Nothobranchius furzeri: one gene and its partner. The protein of the gene in region 1 purifies or fractionates together with the protein of each later gene. This does not show direct contact. Links are inferred from orthologs where the notes say so. Each region holds a gene or a part of one and is shown on either strand. Other genes may lie near its edges.

Region 1 (4,281 bases):
CACAAAGTGTTGTAGCGCTCTTGGGTCGTGTCTCTCGCCAACTCCTTATACGCACGCAACTCTTCTTCCAAAAGGCAAAGCATGAATTTCTCTTCAGGAACGTCAGGACCAAAACCATCCCGTAATGTCCTGTTTCAGGAAACGACGGATTTTAAGCAAAACACAAACAAAAACAAAGCCACTAAATAGTTCTTCTCTGTACCTGAGTCTTATGTCCTCATCATCATTACGGGCAGCATCACTTTTTGTTTTAACCCACAGAGAGACCGGTTCAGCCATGTGAGCCATCACCTGGTCTCCAAGGGCTTTCAGCCACAGGATCACCCACTTCAGGGCTCGATCCAGCGCTTCGGCTCGTCGCGAGGTTTGCACGGCCAGCATGAATGGTCGACTCAGCTGGGTGGTCACGATATAAATAATATTAGCTACAAACCATCAAAAAGCTCAGAAACACCAGTTTTAAACCAACCTAACAGAAACAAAACACCTTCAGCTGCAGGAACTAATTAGAAAACAACATTTCGATCAGGATAAGTATCAGTTGGATCGACTTACTCTATCAGCAGTAAGTGAGACAGGATGATTCTTGCATAAACTTCTGCAAAGGATTTCCACCAGAGAGAAGGCCTGCTCATACAGACGCCGGTTGTAAAGACCACAAGCCACGTTGCTCACAGCAGTCACTACGAGGCACAACAGTGTGTACAATAAATAAATACCTGCATTCAGTAATGATGAAGAAACATTTATGTTAGGATTCATTTCAGTCACCGGTTTTGTTCAAAAGGTTTTCATTGGGCGCCTTGTGAAGTTCTGTCATCAGTAGCCCAGCCGTGGACTGGCAGTAGAGGAGGACTCTGTCCAGCGTGTCCCTGTCCTCCAGCTAGGACCCAGAAACAATCAGCATCATTACTAAAATCCAAGTCTAAAATTCAACATTATGCTGCACCGGGGCCATGCTTAACTTACCATCATCATGAAAGTGTAAATGTGTTCTCACCTGTGATGCAAGCATGCTCTCATAAGCAAATAGGAATCCTTGGTAAATACTGACACAAAGGACCTGCTGCAGCCTGCTGCTCTCAGCCTGGCACATCAAACTCTGGGAAGAAAAAATATATATACATGCGAGGTTTTATTATTATTTTTTAGATAAAAACGTTTCACTGTCCAAAGTGTCCCACTAACCTTTTTTTGCATTTTCATTATCCATTCTTGATACTCCTCAAGGAATGAAAACAGCGCCAGAAGTTCTGGTCCACTTAATCCTTTACTGTGTCCACTTTCAACAGCCCATATCACTAGATTACCACCTTCAAGAGCTGCCTGACCCTCCCCTTTACCCAGGTCAGCTGAGAGAGACCTCAAAACCCTGGCACACTCCATCAAGACTCGGCTGCACTCTTTACCGGCCGTCAACGCTGAATGAATCTCTATTCCCCATGTGGCCAACACCAGAGGCATGCACTTTGAGCCAACACGGTCGAAAATCATCTTCTCAGTTTCATCCAAGAGGGTGGAGGCTAGACCGTGGTGGCTTGCCTTACAGAGGGCCTTCACAGCGAGCAGCGCCATCTCAGAAAACACATAAAAACTTGATGCTTCCATAGGCTGCCTGAAAGTACCCTGTTCACAATTCTGCACACTTGAAAAACATGTGTTAAAAAGTGTCTGCACTTCCTGGAGGAGAAAAGAAGCATCATCTGGTGTCACTGTCCCACATCCATCTTCAAACTCGGTGATGGCATCATATGTGTACATCAGAGCTTTAGAGGTGGGAACTGCCTTTTCTGTGTCCAACAACAGGAAGCTCAAAGCTTGAAACTGGCAATGAAGTTTGTCCTGTGGATTGAGTATTTTTTTGTCTTTGGAAGCAGACAGTCCAGTCCACAGAACAGAGAAGCAGCTTCGCACAAGAACATGGAAATCATCTTGAGCCTACAGATATTACAAACCACAGTTACTCTGACAAAGACCACACAGCAGGGATGTTGACATATGCGAGAACTGTTTGGTGATACATACCTGCTGTGCTGTGGAGAGCCTTTTATAAAGCAACCCTGCCACTTGGCTACAAAGAGTGTGAACCTCTAGAGAACTTAGCTTCTTCACAATATGGAAAATGATCTTTTCCATGTAAAACGGACTGGTCTGAGCCACGAGCTCTGCAGAAACATCATAACCACGAAGAGAAAGCTCCACCAGATTCACTAAGGCCTTGATGTGACCCAGGGGACAAGATCCAACTCCAAGGTGATGGTTACAGGCTCTGATAACCCTGTCACACAGCGTGCGTCCCTGGAGTCCAGGTTTACTCAGGATATGCGTCTGAGAAACGTAAAACAGACATATTCACGTCCTAATGCAAGAAAATACACGTAGATGTAAACAGTTTTTAAATTCCATGAATGCCAAACAAAGTACTGGCCCTTGGGCTGGTACGCATTTTTAAAAAGGACTAGAGTAGTGTTGCTAAAAACAAGCTAACCTCCAATTCCTGGTATAAAAGCTCCGTCTCTTTAACAGAAGCGGTCCGCTTGATGTATTCGTCCACTTTCAAACACTTCATGTTGACGTATGTAGCAGACACTGTAGAAAAAGTAGAGCAGGTTAAATGGGAGGCTAATCTTAGCGGAACGCCGACCAAATGCGCTGCTTTAGGCTAACAGTTAAACTTGCTAAAGCCATCAGCTGGAATTCTTATGAACCGTTAGGTTACTCACCCTACAACATGAAAACAAGACACTTGCTGTTCATACTAACTCCTTTAAAGCCAAGTACTGCCAAACATTAAAGATAAATCCGTGCACTATTACCCGAATGCAACGCGCGCGCTGTTTTTGAATGAAAAGTAACCAATCAGACCTGAGCCATTCAGGTTCCAAGGAGACGCAAAGGATTATGGGTGTCGGAGTTTTTAAGAATCCTGCGTTGGTCTGCTTCCGGTCTGGTCCCCAGAACAAAGCGGGCTTATGCCCTGCATGATCGCACATATGTTCTACTTTAAATGAAAGGCAAATATGTGTGTTTTGGCTATGTCTGTTATGCACTTTAACCCCCAGAGACCCACGGTTGTAATATTACAACATCAGATTTAAGTCTACAAAAATAAACCTTCCCCATTTTTTTTCTTTTTAAAACCACATTTACATTGCCAATAGGTCCTATTGTTCAGTTCTGCAACACTATTGGCTGTTAAAATGTGTAAATAGGCCCGTTTATCTGGCCTCCTGTAACAACATGTGAAAGGTTAAAAAAGATTTTGCAGTTGTTTTCTAAATTTGGGTCTCTGGGGGTTAAGGTTTATTAGCTTGTAAAATTTTGTATTACAACTACACTCTAGCAAGTGTGACATCACCACAGAATCTCTTCTCCCAGCATAGTTACTTATGGGGTGCCATTTGTAAAGTCAAACAGTCATAATCTAACAGCAATATTTTTGGTTATTTAGCATATTATAAGAAAAAAAATTGGGAGTTCACTTTTTCAAAGTCATATTTTCACCATGTTATTCATACATTTATAAATGTTAAAGTTTCCAAATAAATATTTAGTTAGCAAACTAAATATTTAATTTATAGTTAAATATTTATTTTGCAAACCAAATATTTAGGTCTAAGCTAAATATTTAGTTTGTAAAATAAATATTGAATTCACTAATTAAATATTTAATTTCCTAATTAAATATTTATTTTGGAACTAAATAATTAATTTGTAAATTAAATATTTGATTTGTAAATTAAATATTTATTTTCTGAAAAAAATATTTAGATCCCAGCTAAATATTTATTTTAGAGCAAAACATATACTTTGCAAAATCAGTATTTGGGAAGTAAATATTTAAGTCTGACCCAAAAATATAAAATATAGTGTGGAGCTAAATAACATCGTGGAAAATAAATATTTAGCTGGTACTTAAACATTTTGCTAATATGCAAATTTGCTTACCAATAAGCGGAAGTTGGTTACCAAAATAAAAGCTGGATCTCGCTAACCTCTTTATAAACTCTTGCTCCGAACCAGAACTTGTTTTATCTCCGGTTCTGTTCTTCTTCAGCCAACACGTCGGCCACGCCTATCTTCTTCCATTTAATGACAATGTTATGCATCGTGTGTGTGTGTGTGTGTGTGTGTGTGTGTGTGTGTGTGTGTGTGTGTGTGTGTGTGTGTGTGTGTGTGTGTGTGAAAACAACGTTTTATTTGATTACTACCCGTTATTACCTTAACGACCCTCTTGTAAAGAGCTTATTTAAAATGTACATTTCCTATCCTGCATCCTTT
Region 2 (4,367 bases), on another chromosome or scaffold:
TATTTTGTCTTGTAATAGTTAATTACACACTCCTTTATTCCATATCATAGCAGTGTTATTCATATATTAAAATTGTCAACTGCACACTCATTTGGCAGAATAAAAGTTTGACAATTATTCATTTGTTCTTTATTGTCACATTTCAGTAACAGTTATAATTAAACAAGTTGTAATTCAACAAATTAAATAAATGACTACAACATTTCCCCCTGTTAAGTGCAGTAGACTGAAATGAATAGCTTTATTTGGAAATATAACATATCTAATTTTTAATGGACTTACATAAAATCTTTCTTCAACATAGACCCCACTAATTAACTGATTAAGTGTTATTTTTATAAAAAGAAGAGAGAAAATGCACAAAGGTAGGAAAGGAAAAGAAAGTGATGAAATAATAGGTTTTGTTAAATGTTCTTCATATAATGAATTAATTGACAAAGTTTTTGCAGGGTGTGACAAAAAACGTTCAAGGTCAAGCTCCTGGGGCTAAGCCCCCCCATATCTCAATCCTAGTGACGTCCATGGTGCAGCACATTCAGGCTCAGGAACTCACCTGTCATCGTCCAACGTTAATCACGACTCTCCATGTGGGTCCGCAGACATTTCTGTACATATTTCTGTAAAAGTTCACAAATACACGAGCAAGCTACAAGGTTTCTACTATTTTCACATAGAAGTCTATTTTGCGATTTTCTAAACACTCTCTAAACCATTAAGTGTGCAATATTCTACACATTTTTCTCAGTAAAATAAATTCATATGTTCACTTTTACGTTTGCTCATAAAACAAAAATATTTTATCGTGATTTTGTATTTCGAAATGTTTGTGCATTGTTTGAAAGCATCTTTTAGTCCCAAGTTTTACTATTTTATCAACAGCTGTGGTTTATTTCAGACATGAGAGGCACGAGCCAAACTGGAAGCACTGGTTTTCACTCCCCGAACAATCATTTACTTTTAAACAGCATGTGGTTTCAAAAACACCTACAAGTGAGTAGCAAATCTGAATAAACTAATTAAGAGGCTGATAAAAAGCTAATGAATGTGTATGGCGGTCTAATTATAAACTGACACATACTGATCTGTTATTTATATTTATATCGAGGTTTCACTGACTAACGAGCAGGAGAAAACAGAGAAAATAGCAAGACGCAACAGGAAAAGGAAATACGAGGATGTCACGTGATCGTACGTTGTCTAGGAAACGCATTCATTGCCTGCCTGATGGACCAATCAGATGCTCGGAGAAGTCAAAGCGCAGCGAATCAGCTTGCAGCGCACGAGGATTTAAACGAAGACAGCGAGTCTTTAGCTGAACTCGTTCGCTCGGCATTACGACTCTTTCACTGCTTGTCGGAACCACGCAGACTTGAAAATGGCTCTTCGAGTGACCAGAGTGAGTCTTTAGTCGGGTCTTACAGCTCTTTATCCGCGTAAACACGCCTAGAAACATGTCGAATGATTAGTATTAGCGTTTAAAATGCTTCCGTGCTTCGGTGTACCTCACCAGTTCAGGCACTGTCCTGCTGAGAGTTCAGAGTCAAACCTGAAGCGGATTTTGTGTTTATAGATGAACGACATGCAGCAGCGGCTAAAGGACTCTTTTGTTTCTCTGCAGACTCGGCTCGGTTCTACCAGAACCGAGCTCGGAGGAGGGAAGGCCTGCATGAACGGGCCCAAGCAGAAGCCTCGAGGCGCGCTTGGTGAGATCGGAAACGTCCCGCTGAACAAAGAGGTTCAGAAAAAGGTGAGAAGTTTTAAATACTCGAGTTTTTATGGTATTAATAATATTCACACGTGAGAACTTCATGCGTCTACTTTAGACTCGATGTGATGAAGTCATTTTCTTTTAAAGCGCTGCTAACATGTAGAGCACATGCTAGCAGACATGCTGCTGTTAACGTGCTATTTAAATAAAGTGGTGGACAGGTAAAGGTTTTTTTTAATCCCATAATAACACGTTCAAGTAGGGGGCGCTGCAGAGCCCCGGTGCCTGGAAGAAGCCATTTTCATGCACACATCCACCTAGAAGGTACTCTTGCATTGGACATGTCACCTTCTTAAAGCCCCGCCCTAGCCTTGGTGACTCACCTGGATGCAGCCTGGCTGCCTCACTAGGGATGCTTACTTTAAAGTGGGTAATCGGATCTGTTTAGCGTACCTGCGTAAACTTGTCAAGACTGTATAATCTTCAGTTTAACTCTAGTGAAGCACCAGGTGATTTAATTTCTCCATGGGGGCTTCAACGACCATATTTGGATTTAGAATGTCAAGATCGATGCTGCAAAGAAGCCTGAAGTTGTACCTAAAGCGGTAAAGGTGGAACAGCCCAAGCCTCCGGTCGTCATTGCTGCTGACCCTGAGCCTGAAGTTCAGGTGAGTCATCTGATTAGTTTAAATCCTGATTCGATCCATGCGCTGACGCACCTGTAAAACGTGTTGAACTTCCTCTGCTCCAGGTGCCGCCTGAACCCACCTCGCCCACTCCGATGGAGACGTCTAGCTGCAAACCCGCTGATCTCTGCCAGGCGTTTTCAGACGTCCTGCTCCACACCGCTGTCAGGGACGTGGATGCGGACGACTATGACAATCCCATGCTCTGCAGTGAATATGTGAAGGACATCTACAAGTATCTCCGTCAGCTGGAGGTTGAGCAGAACGTCAGGCCCACTTACCTACAGGGTCAGGAGGTTACCGGGAATATGAGGGCCATCCTCATCGACTGGCTGGTGCAAGTGAGCCTCAAGTTCCGTCTGCTGCAGGAGACCATGTACATGACCGTTGGAATAATCGATCGCTTTCTTCAGGTAATTCCCACGCTCGTCGTCGGTGGGTAGACGTATCCACGTGTAGAGATTAAAGGTGTTAAATGTGCACGTTCCTGCGTCTCCAACAGGACCATCCAGTCCCCAAGAAGCAGCTGCAGCTAGTGGGCGTGACCGCCATGTTCCTTGCCTCCAAATATGAGGAAATGTATCCTCCGGAGATCTCGGACTTTGCCTATGTGACGGACCGGGCCTACACCACTGCTCAGATCCGGGACATGGAGATGACCATTCTGAGAGAGCTGAAGTTTCAGCTTGGCCGACCACTTCCCCTGCAGTTCCTCAGAAGGGCCTCAAAGATCTATGAGGTTTGTGTCGAGGCTAAAGTCCAGCTGATCTTCAGTGACTTGTCTGCTGACTTCTGCCTTTGGTCCACAGGTAACGGCGGAGCAGCACACTCTAGCCAAATACGTCCTGGAGCTCACCATGATGGACTACGAGATGGTTCATTTCCCTCCTTCTATGGTGGCCAGTGCTGCTCTGGCGTTCACCTTGAAGGTCCTGGAAGCAGGCGAATGGGTTTGTATGCGATTTTTAAAATACTCCTGTGTTACTAAAATGGGTTCATCACAGGCTAATGGCTACTCCGACTGATGCAACGAACATTAAAGAGCAAGTCACCCCCAAATCAACTGTTTTTTCTGATAAACTATATAAATGCGTGTCTAATCGTGCTGCAGACGCATGTAGTCAACAGTTTTGCACTTTAGTGCATTTTAGTTAAAATTTCTGCCTAAAACTGTCAGTGTTGTGCCGTCGTCGGGTAAAAACTCTGCGCTGCATTTGAATTTAAATCTGCCACCGCTATTGGCTACCTAGAATGTTAGCTGGTACCATGAGATGTCACAATGTCGTGTGTGTGTGGCCCTCTCGGTCTGCTAGGTAACAGCATTAGTTGCATTTTTTTAAAACAGGAAGTGTGAGCGGAGTAATACCCTGGTAGGGGGTGACTTGCTCTTTAATATAACTATTTCCACCACTATCTGCTTAATGTAGTTTAGGCATAAATGTCAGATTCATTCAGTGGATGTTGACCTTTGACTAGCAGTTAGCTCATCAGTCCCAAGTACGCCGCTCCTTAACTCGGTCACCAACTGGCTAAATGACCTGAAGGTTGAGGTGTGACGTCTTTGTTCAGGATGTGACGCTGCAGCACTACATGGACTACTCGGCAGAGAGTTTGATTCCTGTTATGGGGCACATCGCCAAGAACGTTGTCAAGGTGACGGACGGGCTGACCAAGCATGTGGTAAGCTTTTTAGCACTTGAACCAGGTGTGCCCAGCCCCGGGCCTTGAGGGCCGCCATGGCTTTCACGGCTCCGACCCACCTGCTGCGAGTCGGGTGGTGAAGAGGCTGCTGAACAGGTCCAGTATAGTAGCTGAATGGGACGGGACCTGCAGGACCACACCTTAACGTTTTGCTTTTTGCATCTTTTCAGGCAATCAAGGGGAAGTACTCCTCGTCAAAGCAGATGAGAATCGCCGCCATCCCTCAGCTCAAGTCTTCTGTGGTCAAAGATCTGGCAAAGCAGCTCGCCCAG

Evidence for each region.
Region 2: the proteins of espl1 (region 1) and ccnb1 purify together in Homo sapiens (affinity purification with western blotting; 5 studies listed by BioGRID and IntAct, with this or other methods). This does not show direct contact. The link is inferred for Nothobranchius furzeri from reciprocal best matches to the Homo sapiens genes ESPL1 and CCNB1.

The regions. Positions count from the first base shown.
Region 1 is NC_091743.1:50,208,308-50,212,588, forward strand, and holds the start of espl1 (separin), read right to left. Parts: upstream 2,837-4,281; 5' UTR 2,724-2,836; intron 2,590-2,723; 5' UTR 2,570-2,589; coding exon 2,489-2,569; intron 2,329-2,488; coding exon 2,026-2,328; intron 1,939-2,025; coding exon 1,189-1,938; intron 1,103-1,188; coding exon 1,001-1,102; intron 884-1,000; coding exon 772-883; intron 684-771; coding exon 556-683; intron 397-555; coding exon 203-396; intron 130-202; coding exon 1-129. UniProt on the Homo sapiens protein: Caspase-like protease, which plays a central role in the chromosome segregation by cleaving the SCC1/RAD21 subunit of the cohesin complex at the onset of anaphase. During most of the cell cycle, it is inactivated by different mechanisms.
Region 2 is NC_091746.1:73,742,284-73,746,650, reverse strand, and holds the start of ccnb1 (G2/mitotic-specific cyclin-B1), read left to right. Parts: upstream 1-1,263; 5' UTR 1,264-1,375; coding exon 1,376-1,396; intron 1,397-1,618; coding exon 1,619-1,747; intron 1,748-2,265; coding exon 2,266-2,376; intron 2,377-2,459; coding exon 2,460-2,807; intron 2,808-2,896; coding exon 2,897-3,133; intron 3,134-3,203; coding exon 3,204-3,344; intron 3,345-3,963; coding exon 3,964-4,074; intron 4,075-4,265; coding exon 4,266-4,367. UniProt on the Homo sapiens protein: Essential for the control of the cell cycle at the G2/M (mitosis) transition.